2 linked regions of the Rattus norvegicus genome follow. The protein of the gene in region 1 binds, or shares a complex with, the protein of each later gene. Links are inferred from orthologs where the notes say so. Each region holds a gene or a part of one and is shown on either strand. Other genes may lie near its edges. The genes, in order: Pdrg1 and Asdurf.

Region 1 (4,319 bases):
CACTTATCCATGACCCTTCACAGCTACGGATGGCCTTGACCAATGAGATTCTGGCAGAGAGTGGCCTTATTTTCAAACAGAAAGCAAAGGCCCATATGGAAGAAGCCCTTTGCCTTTCCCCAGCCTAATACAGTTTTGGTTCTCAGTGCTGGATTATGATTCAGACTGGGGGGAAGGTAGCCATGTCCTTGACCCCTCTTCAGGACACCTTACCTTTCTGGATCATTTCCTTCGTCTTAAGGTGAGGCATTTTGATGAACATGTTCCCAAAGCAAACCATCACGTCTTCTGAAACAGCAAACAGACATTTCTTCATGTTTTGTTTTTCCCTTTTGAAGCACCTATCATCTGACAGGCACTGTTCAGATGCTAAGAACATAGCAGAACAAGACAGTTCATGCTCTCGTGGAAATCACGTCATAGCAAAAGATGGGGAGTGAGCGAAGCTGTTTTCCACACACCGCTTAAGAACTAGCATGGAAACCTGTAGTGGCAGTTTTGGCATTTTTGTTTCTTTAAAAACAAACAAATAAACAAACACAGAAATCCTGTAAGAATTATGTCTTCCTTATAATCCCAGGTGTGGGATATGGGGAGCTCAGAGAGACTGAGCACAGCAGCTGACTGTGGTTTGCCTCATGCTCTGGCATGATTTTGCCAGCTGCAGATAGTTTCTTCGAGTGTGTGATGTTTGGAATTCTGAGGGCTTTTGAGAGGGTGTAATAACGCTAGGTGCCCCCTTTCCAACCCCCCTGACTTTATTCAAGGATCTCTTTTCTTCATCCTTTTTTCTCTCTTATCTAGTGTTGGGGGTTGAAAAGGTGGAAAAGTTGGGGGAGAAGGGTGGAAGAGCCCAGAGTGTGGCAAAAGGACCAGTTAATTAAACAGACAGACAAAAAACCCAACAACAACAACAAAAGCTGTTTAAAGAGCTGGGAATTGTCAGAGGACTGATGTGTTGAAAGTTGGTATGAGACTTCTATGTAGATGTGACATTCAGGCACAGAACTGAGGAAAGGGAGGACACTACACTTACAGACATGTGGGAAAACAGAGCCAGGCTAACAACCAAGGGACCAGTGAGTGAGCAGGAGAGTCAGGGCTAATAGGGGTGTGGGGCTGGGTCATGGGGAGTCCTGCAGGACAGCTCTGGGTTTCACTCAGGTGAGATAAGCCAGTGGAAGCCCTACATGTCAGCCTTCACTATGGCCTGGATGCTGCCCTCCTTTCCAGAACTGCTTCATGTCAGACCTCTGCTTGCTACCACCAGCCACAGCCACCTGGCCTCAATACCCACCCATGGCCTCTCACCATTTTCAGTTATGTGTCTATGCTGCTTTTCCTCATGTGGAACATAAGGGCAGAACTATTGCTTTTTATGTGCCGTGAGCACTCTCTGTATCTGCCGTCAGTGAGTGATGAGCTAATGGCCTGTCGCTGAAGTGAGCAGCTAAATTCTGAGTCACAGCATATGTCTGACCTGCAACACTGGCTTGCTCTTCTCCACAAGCTGTCTTAGTTCCCCATGAGGGTGAGTCACACAGTCCCAGCCTCCTGCCTGGCTGGTCTTTACCAGGGATAATGAAGTCCCTGAACCAGCTTCCAGGGCTTCAGTAAGGATGCCACAACTTACCAGAGACACTCGGGTCTTTCTGTAGGGCCCTCAGGCCCTCTCGGTTCTGATTCCTCTTGGTGTCCAGGTCTACAATCTGAAAACAGGAGCAGATGGGAACTCAGCTGCCTCCTGCCCCAATCTGAAGAAACAAGGTATCGTTTCTGGTGAAGTTCCAATGTCTTGCCTGACATGGACGACTCAGGTGTGAACGTTCTTCTTTACCCACTTGGTTTCCAGCTCCTCTGTTTGTATGGAGCTTTCCTCCTCCACAGAAGGTGGTGGGAAAATGTTTGCAGATTGAGCCACTTTGTATCATCCACTCAAACTTGAGAGTATACCGGGGTCACCAGGGAGTTAGTTGAGTGTCTCCTCTAGACAGTGACTATTGACAAGCTCTTGTTAAGTAACTCTGACAGTCTCACCAGACATTCAACCATACTGGACTGGAGCAGCTGTTGCACCGTACCACTATGACAACTAACTGCTCAAGAGGCGACTTTCTGGGGCTGCAGCTAGTGAACCATCAAGCCTTTTCAAATATAGATCACGAAGAGTCATTACGGTCATTATGGTAGCTTCTGAAGACCACCAAGTATATGTCTCACCCCATCATTCCCATCTTGTCTAAATCCAGATCATCTGGATCAGCTAAATGGCTCGCTGCACTCTAGGAAGGAGCCAGAGAGAGACTTTTAAAATCTAAATGCACACCTGTAATCCCAGAACTCAGGACACTGACAAGGACATACCACGGGTTGTTCAAGGCTGTCTTAGGCGACACAGTGAGTTCGAGAAGTCTGAGATACATGAGATCCTCTAAAGTTTAGTCTAAACCAACCGATCAATCTATCAGTCACTATTCAATGATAACATCCCCAGGACGAACTCCCTTTAGGGACTACTTACCACAGAACCAGAGCCAAGCACCCCTTTCGGGTCTACGAAGCCTTCAACCAAGCCGCCGCCCCCCACGCACACGCACACGCACATCAGTGTACTGCCCAGACACATCCTGCCCATGTCTCAACAACCTGATTCAAGATGGGCCTGGGACTGCGTTTGGAAAGTGGTGTCAGGGATCCGGGGGACCAGCAATGACGGGGCAGGGTGAAAGGAAGGCAACTGCCCAATACAGAACTGACTGGCGCTCACTAGGCACCAGGCCGCTAGGAGCAGTGACGCCGGGAGGCCCGGTGATCACCCTGCGACGCCGCGCACTTGCGTAGGGCGCTCGCGGCCGCCGCGTCTCTCACCTGCCGCTTGTCTGAGAGCACTGCCTCTGCCAGCTCCTCCACTTCGACCAGGTACCGCAGCACTCGATCCGCCTCGGGGGACACCATGGTGCCACAGACCTCTTCCGACACTCGCACTACTACTTCACCCCAGCTCCTTCCGCGCACGCGCCGTTCTGGGACTTCCGGCAAGCCTGCGCAGTGAAAAGAACATGCGCCTCAGCTGGGCTCCAGAGGGGAGGGTCAGGCTTTGGGAGCAGGGAAGATGCGCCCCCTGCAGGCTCTGATCGAGCAGCCCAACGCACTGCCCTTTCCCCTCCCTTCAAAGGGTTCCTGGGCATCCACCATAAACCAGGTTGGGTGTCGGGAAGGCGGCTGCAAAAGAAGCATCCCGGCTCTAGGAACGTCATTCCATTGGAAAACAGCAAACACTGACAGCAAAATAATTACACATTATGGGAGGTAGCGATAATGGCTTTGGAGACACAGAGATCATAAAGTCCAGTTTAACATCGCCAAGAAACTGAGTGTGGCAAAGAGACTCATATTTTAACCCGCGACACTTTCAGCTTCCAGTTTGTAAATAATGGGTATAGAAATTCCCCGCACTGACTCTCTCTGTCTCTCTGTCTCTGTCTCTGTCTTTCCTGTCTCCCCCCCCCGCCCCCACCACCACGGAAGACAGAAAGGAAGCAGAAATCATTTTAAATTACATCTGGTTGCAGCGTTTGTTGAATCTAATGTCCACAGTAGCAAGCCAAGATTCACAGAAGGAGCTGGAAACTGTCCAGGGTGAGCAATGAAGTGTCAGTAAGATCTGAAGAGTGAATTAGGATCCTGGACTTCCGGGGGGTGGGGGTGGGAGGGTGATGACTGCCCGACAGAACCAGAGGGGTCCCCCAATCTCTTACTGTACATTTGCAAAGCTGGAGGCTTAGAGGCGGGCTACCTCACCCATCCTCTTGTTTTTCCGTGTGTGGAACTGGAATTACCCCAGTGCCTCTCAAGCGCTACACCTGAGCTATATCTCATCTGTTTTCTTTTGTGTGAGTGTATGTGTGTGGTGCATGCATATAAGGGTACTCTGTGCCCCTGCAGAGACAAGCAGAGGCCAGAGCAGGGTGACAGGTGTCTTCCTTTGACATTCTCCACCTTATTGTCATGAAATAGAGCCTCTCGTTGAAACGGAAGCTCTTTTGGGTTAGGCAGCCTAGACTTGGGGCTCTCTGGATCTGCCTGTGGCTGTTTGCTCCCCAATGCTGAAGTGACAGGCCCACACAACCATGTCTGGATTTTTCTGTAGGTGTTTGGGATTCAAACTCAGATCCTCATTCTGAGTGTAAAGTGAACACTCCTCACTCACTAAGCCACCTCCCCAGCCCTAAGACTCAACTCTGACATCCATTTTTTAGTCTCCTTTTTTGACTCTGGGTAACTTAGCCCATTCATATTCTTGGCCTCACTTGAATTTC
Region 2 (4,564 bases), on another chromosome or scaffold:
TACCAATTCTACATTTGATAGAGGGCTTATATCCAAAATATACAAAGAACTCAAGAAGTTAGACCGCAGGGAGACAAATAACCCTATTAAAAAATGGAATACAGAGCTAAACAAAGAATTCTAAACTGAGGAGTATCAAATGGCTAAGAGGTAACTAAAGAAATGTTCAACATCCTTAGTCATCAGGGAAATGCAAATCAAAACAACCCTGAGATTCCACCTCACACCAGTGAGAATGGCTAAGAACAAAAACTCAGGTGACAACAGATGCTGACATGGATGTGGAGAAAGAGGAACACTCCTCCATTGTTGGTGGGTTTGCAAGCTGGTACAGCCACTCTGGAAATCAATCTGGAGGTTCCTCAGAAAATTGGAAGTAGTACTATCTTAGGACCCAGTTATACCACTCCTGGGCATATACCCAAAAGATGCTCTAACGTATAACAAGGACACATGCTCCACTATGTTCACAGTAGCCTTATTTATAATAGCCAGAAGCTGGAAAGAATCAAATAACCCTCAACAGAGGATGGATATAAAATGTGGTATATTTCTACAAAAATAATGACTTCATGAAATCCATAGGCAAATCGATGGAACTAGAAAATATCATCCCTAGTGAGGTAACCCAATCACAAAAAAAAAAACAAAAAACAAAAAAACAAAAAAAAAAAAACCACATGGTATGCACACTCACTGATAGTGGATATTAGCCAAAAATCTCGAATTACCCAAGATCCAATCCACAGACCACATGAAGCTTAAGAAGGACGACCAAACTGTGGATGCTTCAGTTCTTCTTAAAAGGGGGAGTAAAAATATTCATAGGAGGAGATATGGAGACAAAGCTTGGAACAGAGACTGAAGGAATTGCCATTCAGAACCTGCCCTACCTGAGGTTCCAGCCCATAAACATACAATATTTCTGATGCCCAGAAGTGCATGCTGACAGGAGCCTGATACAGCTGTCTCCTGAGAGGCTCAGTCAGAGCATTACAAATACACAGGCAAATGCTAGCAGCAAACCATTGAACTGAGAACGGGGTACCATTGGAGGAGTTAGAGAAAGGATTGAAGGAGGTGAAGGAGCTTGCAACCCCATAAGAACAACAATACCAACCAACCAGAGCTCCAGGGACTAAATCACCATCCAAAGACTATATACATGGACAAACCCATGGCTACAGCTGCATATGTAGCAGAGTATGGCCTTGTTGGGCACTAAGGGGAGGAAAAGTCCTTGGTCTTACCAAGGCTGGATCCTCATTGTTGGGGAATGTCAGGGTGGGGAGGTGGGAAGCGGTTGGTGGTTGGGGACGGGGAACACCTTCATAGAAGAAGGGGAAGTGGGGATGGGATACGGTGTTTATGAATGGGAAACCGGAAAGGGGAATAACATTTGAAATGTAAATAAAAATATCCAATTTAAAAAATTAAAAAAAAAAAGCCAAGACCACAGTGTTAGGCACACTACTGATTAGTGATTTATTTTTACATAGCATCCGCTAGGGGGCAACACAGACCATTCATAGACTCTCCAGCCAAGCCAGACGAACCTTTAGCCAAAACTAATGTGCGCTGATGCACAGCTACTTAAAGTCGGAGTTCCAGGATCTAGTATCCACGCCTGCTACTGAGCAGGCGTAAATATGCGCACTCCATTGGTCGAGGTTCCGGAAGGGGCAGGGTCCTGAAAGGAACACTGGCTTCCGGTTGGGCCTGCCGCCTGCTGTTTCATCCACCGCGGTTCCTCCGTTCGGTGCGGCGTGGCGATGCCTAGCGGTGCGGAGCACCCCGGAGACAGCGCCGCGCCGGGACCCACCCGCACATCGACCGCGCACGCCGAGGCCCTTAGCAGTAAGGTGCCGTGGGACGCCGAGGATGGGCGGTGGGCGGCGGGCGGCGGGAAACGGGTCCCGCGGTCGCATCGGTGCCCAGTAGCCTCACCGGTCCATTCTCAGCACCGGCCGCTGGTTTCCCCTGCGTCCTGCAGATTTGCTATGATGGAGGCACAGATTTATCCACTGCAAACAACAGTGATACTGAGACAGAGGTCTTAATGACGTTTTTCCTTTACGCGTTTGCACCACTCTCCTCTCGGAACCCTTCACACATGTGATCTGTTGCTCGTTGGCTGTGCTTCATCCATTTAGCCATGTACCCGCCTGGACGCCATCCATGACGTCCATCATGAAAGTTTAGAAATCTGCCCGTTCTTCCAGACTCAGGCAAAATTTTCTTAACCGAAGTTATCAGTTGCCTGTTGACCTTAAAATATATTCTCACCTTTAAGTGATCCTAAAAACATCAGTTTGGTCATCTCTTTATTATTCAACCAGGACTGTAGCAGATTAATTTTTTCCCTTCCTCTTTTTGGGATAGGGTTTCATAAGTAGCTCAGGCCAGCCTCAAATATTGTTTGAGGATCACCTTGAATTATTCTCTTGCCTAATAGTCAGGATTTCAGGGAGGCAACCCCATACCTGAACTGTACAGTGATCTCAACTTCCAGTTACAGACAAAAATCTTTAAACGTGTGGATTGGAGGGGGTGTGGGTGCAGCCTTTTCAGTTATTAAACATCCTGAATTCCATATTTTTTTTCTGTCCTGTATGACATCTTCAGTACATTGCCTTATTTCCAGTGTGCCACAGTATTCTGTGGTGTCACCTAAAGTGAGATATATTATATACCTGTCGTTTGTAGTGAGCATAAAAGCGCTGTACAAGCAGCCTTGAATCTCAGGGAGGGTGTACTCAATGTAGCTTTGTCGTATGTTAGTACAGCTCTTAGCACTGCCCATGCACACTCATTTGGGTGGGGATGAGTTTTCAGAATACTCTGGCTACTGCCATAGCAAGCCTCTTGGCACTGTGTAGCTGTGTCAGTGTAGACTTATTGCCTATTTGGGCATTTCATCTGATGATAAGGAACAAACTGAGCTTAAGGATACCAGCAGTATGCTGTCCTTAATACTCAAAATAGAATGATACAAGGGTGGGAGATGATGTTGTACCACTGCAGGAAGGGCGTTCGTTCAGTACCGTTCCGTTCATTTTATCCGAATGTCTGGCTGTCATCCAGTGCATACATCATAAAACCACTGGCTATTGGTAAAGAGGAGAAGCCACATTCATTTCTCTTTTTTAGTCTACAGCCAGGCCTTATAAAATTAAAAGATTGGTATTAATTTGGCTAGACAGTGTCTCACCCTGGTTAAAGATGTGAGCTGTGGTAACTGGCGCCTGGCAAGTCTAAGTCAGCTTCTTTCTCCAGCTGTCTTCTACTGGTTCCAGCCTGAGTGTGGTTGCATCTGTACAGTATCCATTTAGACAGGCAGTCCATGACAGGCCCCAGTCCCATGTTTTGTTTTAAAGCAGTTGCTAAAAATGTGCTCACTAAACATAGTTTGAAAACTTCCACTTTAGGTTTTTTTCTTTACTTTAATAGATTAAAGAACAGAAAGTTATTGTGGATGAACTTTCTAACCTGAAGAAGAATCGGGTAAGTTGCTGTGGGAATCTGAATAGTATATATATATATAATATTAAAATTATGATTTAGATTATTTATGCTAACATTGCAAAATTCAAACATCGTAATTTAAAAACTAAAGTGATATCCTCATTTGGTTTTGCATGTTTTAAATTTGTTCTTCCTGTATAAGTCAGTAGATCTCAAAGATGAAAAAATTATATTTTAACAAAAAAGAATGAAGTTTTCCATAGAAAACTTTAATATTCCAAATACTTAACCCATTTCATGGCTTTTAAATAAATGTGTTAATAAATCAGCTACAATTAACTAATAATCGACATTTCTGATATTGTCATTTGTGAAATATTAGATGCTAGGGCAAATTAATACAGAAATTTTTGGAGATCAAACTGGCAAAATGAGTAAATGCTGTATGACACTTCAGAGTAACCGGTGTGGAAGCAGTTGTGAGGATGAATGCGTGTTTACCTGCAAAGGTACTTGCCAGCATCTGTAGTGAAGAGTTGACAGAACAGTAAATGACTGAGCTTGAAGGCAGTAAAGAACTATACATTGTACCAATGTGGTGATATAAAAGAACCTTCCTTGGTCAGAAAAGATCTCCATGTATTATTCGTTTATGAACTAAATTATAAACCTGTTGCTGTGATAGCCTTTGTTATTTGAAAGACTATGGTGTGATGACACATGTGAAGCAAACAACCGTCTCTGGGTGGCATAGTGATCAGTGACTTTGTTTATCTGTGGTAATCACTCTTCTGAATATTCCTGAAGTTCAAGAGTGGGTGATAAGAGGATCCTGTTCAACATCACTGTGCAAGTCGCATTCTTCTTTTTTATTAGCATGTCATGGGTACTGCGGCCTGAAGCATGGACTTTCAGTGCAAGGACATGATTGTCATGACCCTGGGACACCACTCATGGGTGGCTAGGAATATTGGTGCTGTATGATGGAGTGAATGGACTGTGACATAGTAGGTGCTCTCATAGCACAACACAGGAGAAAGCAGAATACAGACTTCATTGCCAATGATTAAGAACCACTGTCAGTTCTGTAACCAATGCT

The links.
Region 2: Pdrg1 (region 1) and Asdurf share a complex: the UniProt entries of both Homo sapiens proteins name them as parts of the PAQosome complex. The link is inferred for Rattus norvegicus from reciprocal best matches to the Homo sapiens genes PDRG1 and ASDURF.

The regions. Positions count from the first base shown.
Region 1 is NC_086021.1:161,940,994-161,945,312, forward strand, and holds the start of Pdrg1 (p53 and DNA damage-regulated protein 1), read right to left. Parts: upstream 2,989-4,319; 5' UTR 2,956-2,988; coding exon 2,869-2,955; intron 1,710-2,868; coding exon 1,634-1,709; intron 289-1,633; coding exon 214-288; intron 1-213. UniProt on the Homo sapiens protein: May play a role in chaperone-mediated protein folding.
Region 2 is NC_086027.1:55,617,084-55,621,647, forward strand, and holds the start of Asdurf (ASNSD1 upstream open reading frame protein), read left to right. Parts: upstream 1-1,715; 5' UTR 1,716-1,772; coding exon 1,773-1,862; intron 1,863-3,450; coding exon 3,451-3,504; intron 3,505-4,564.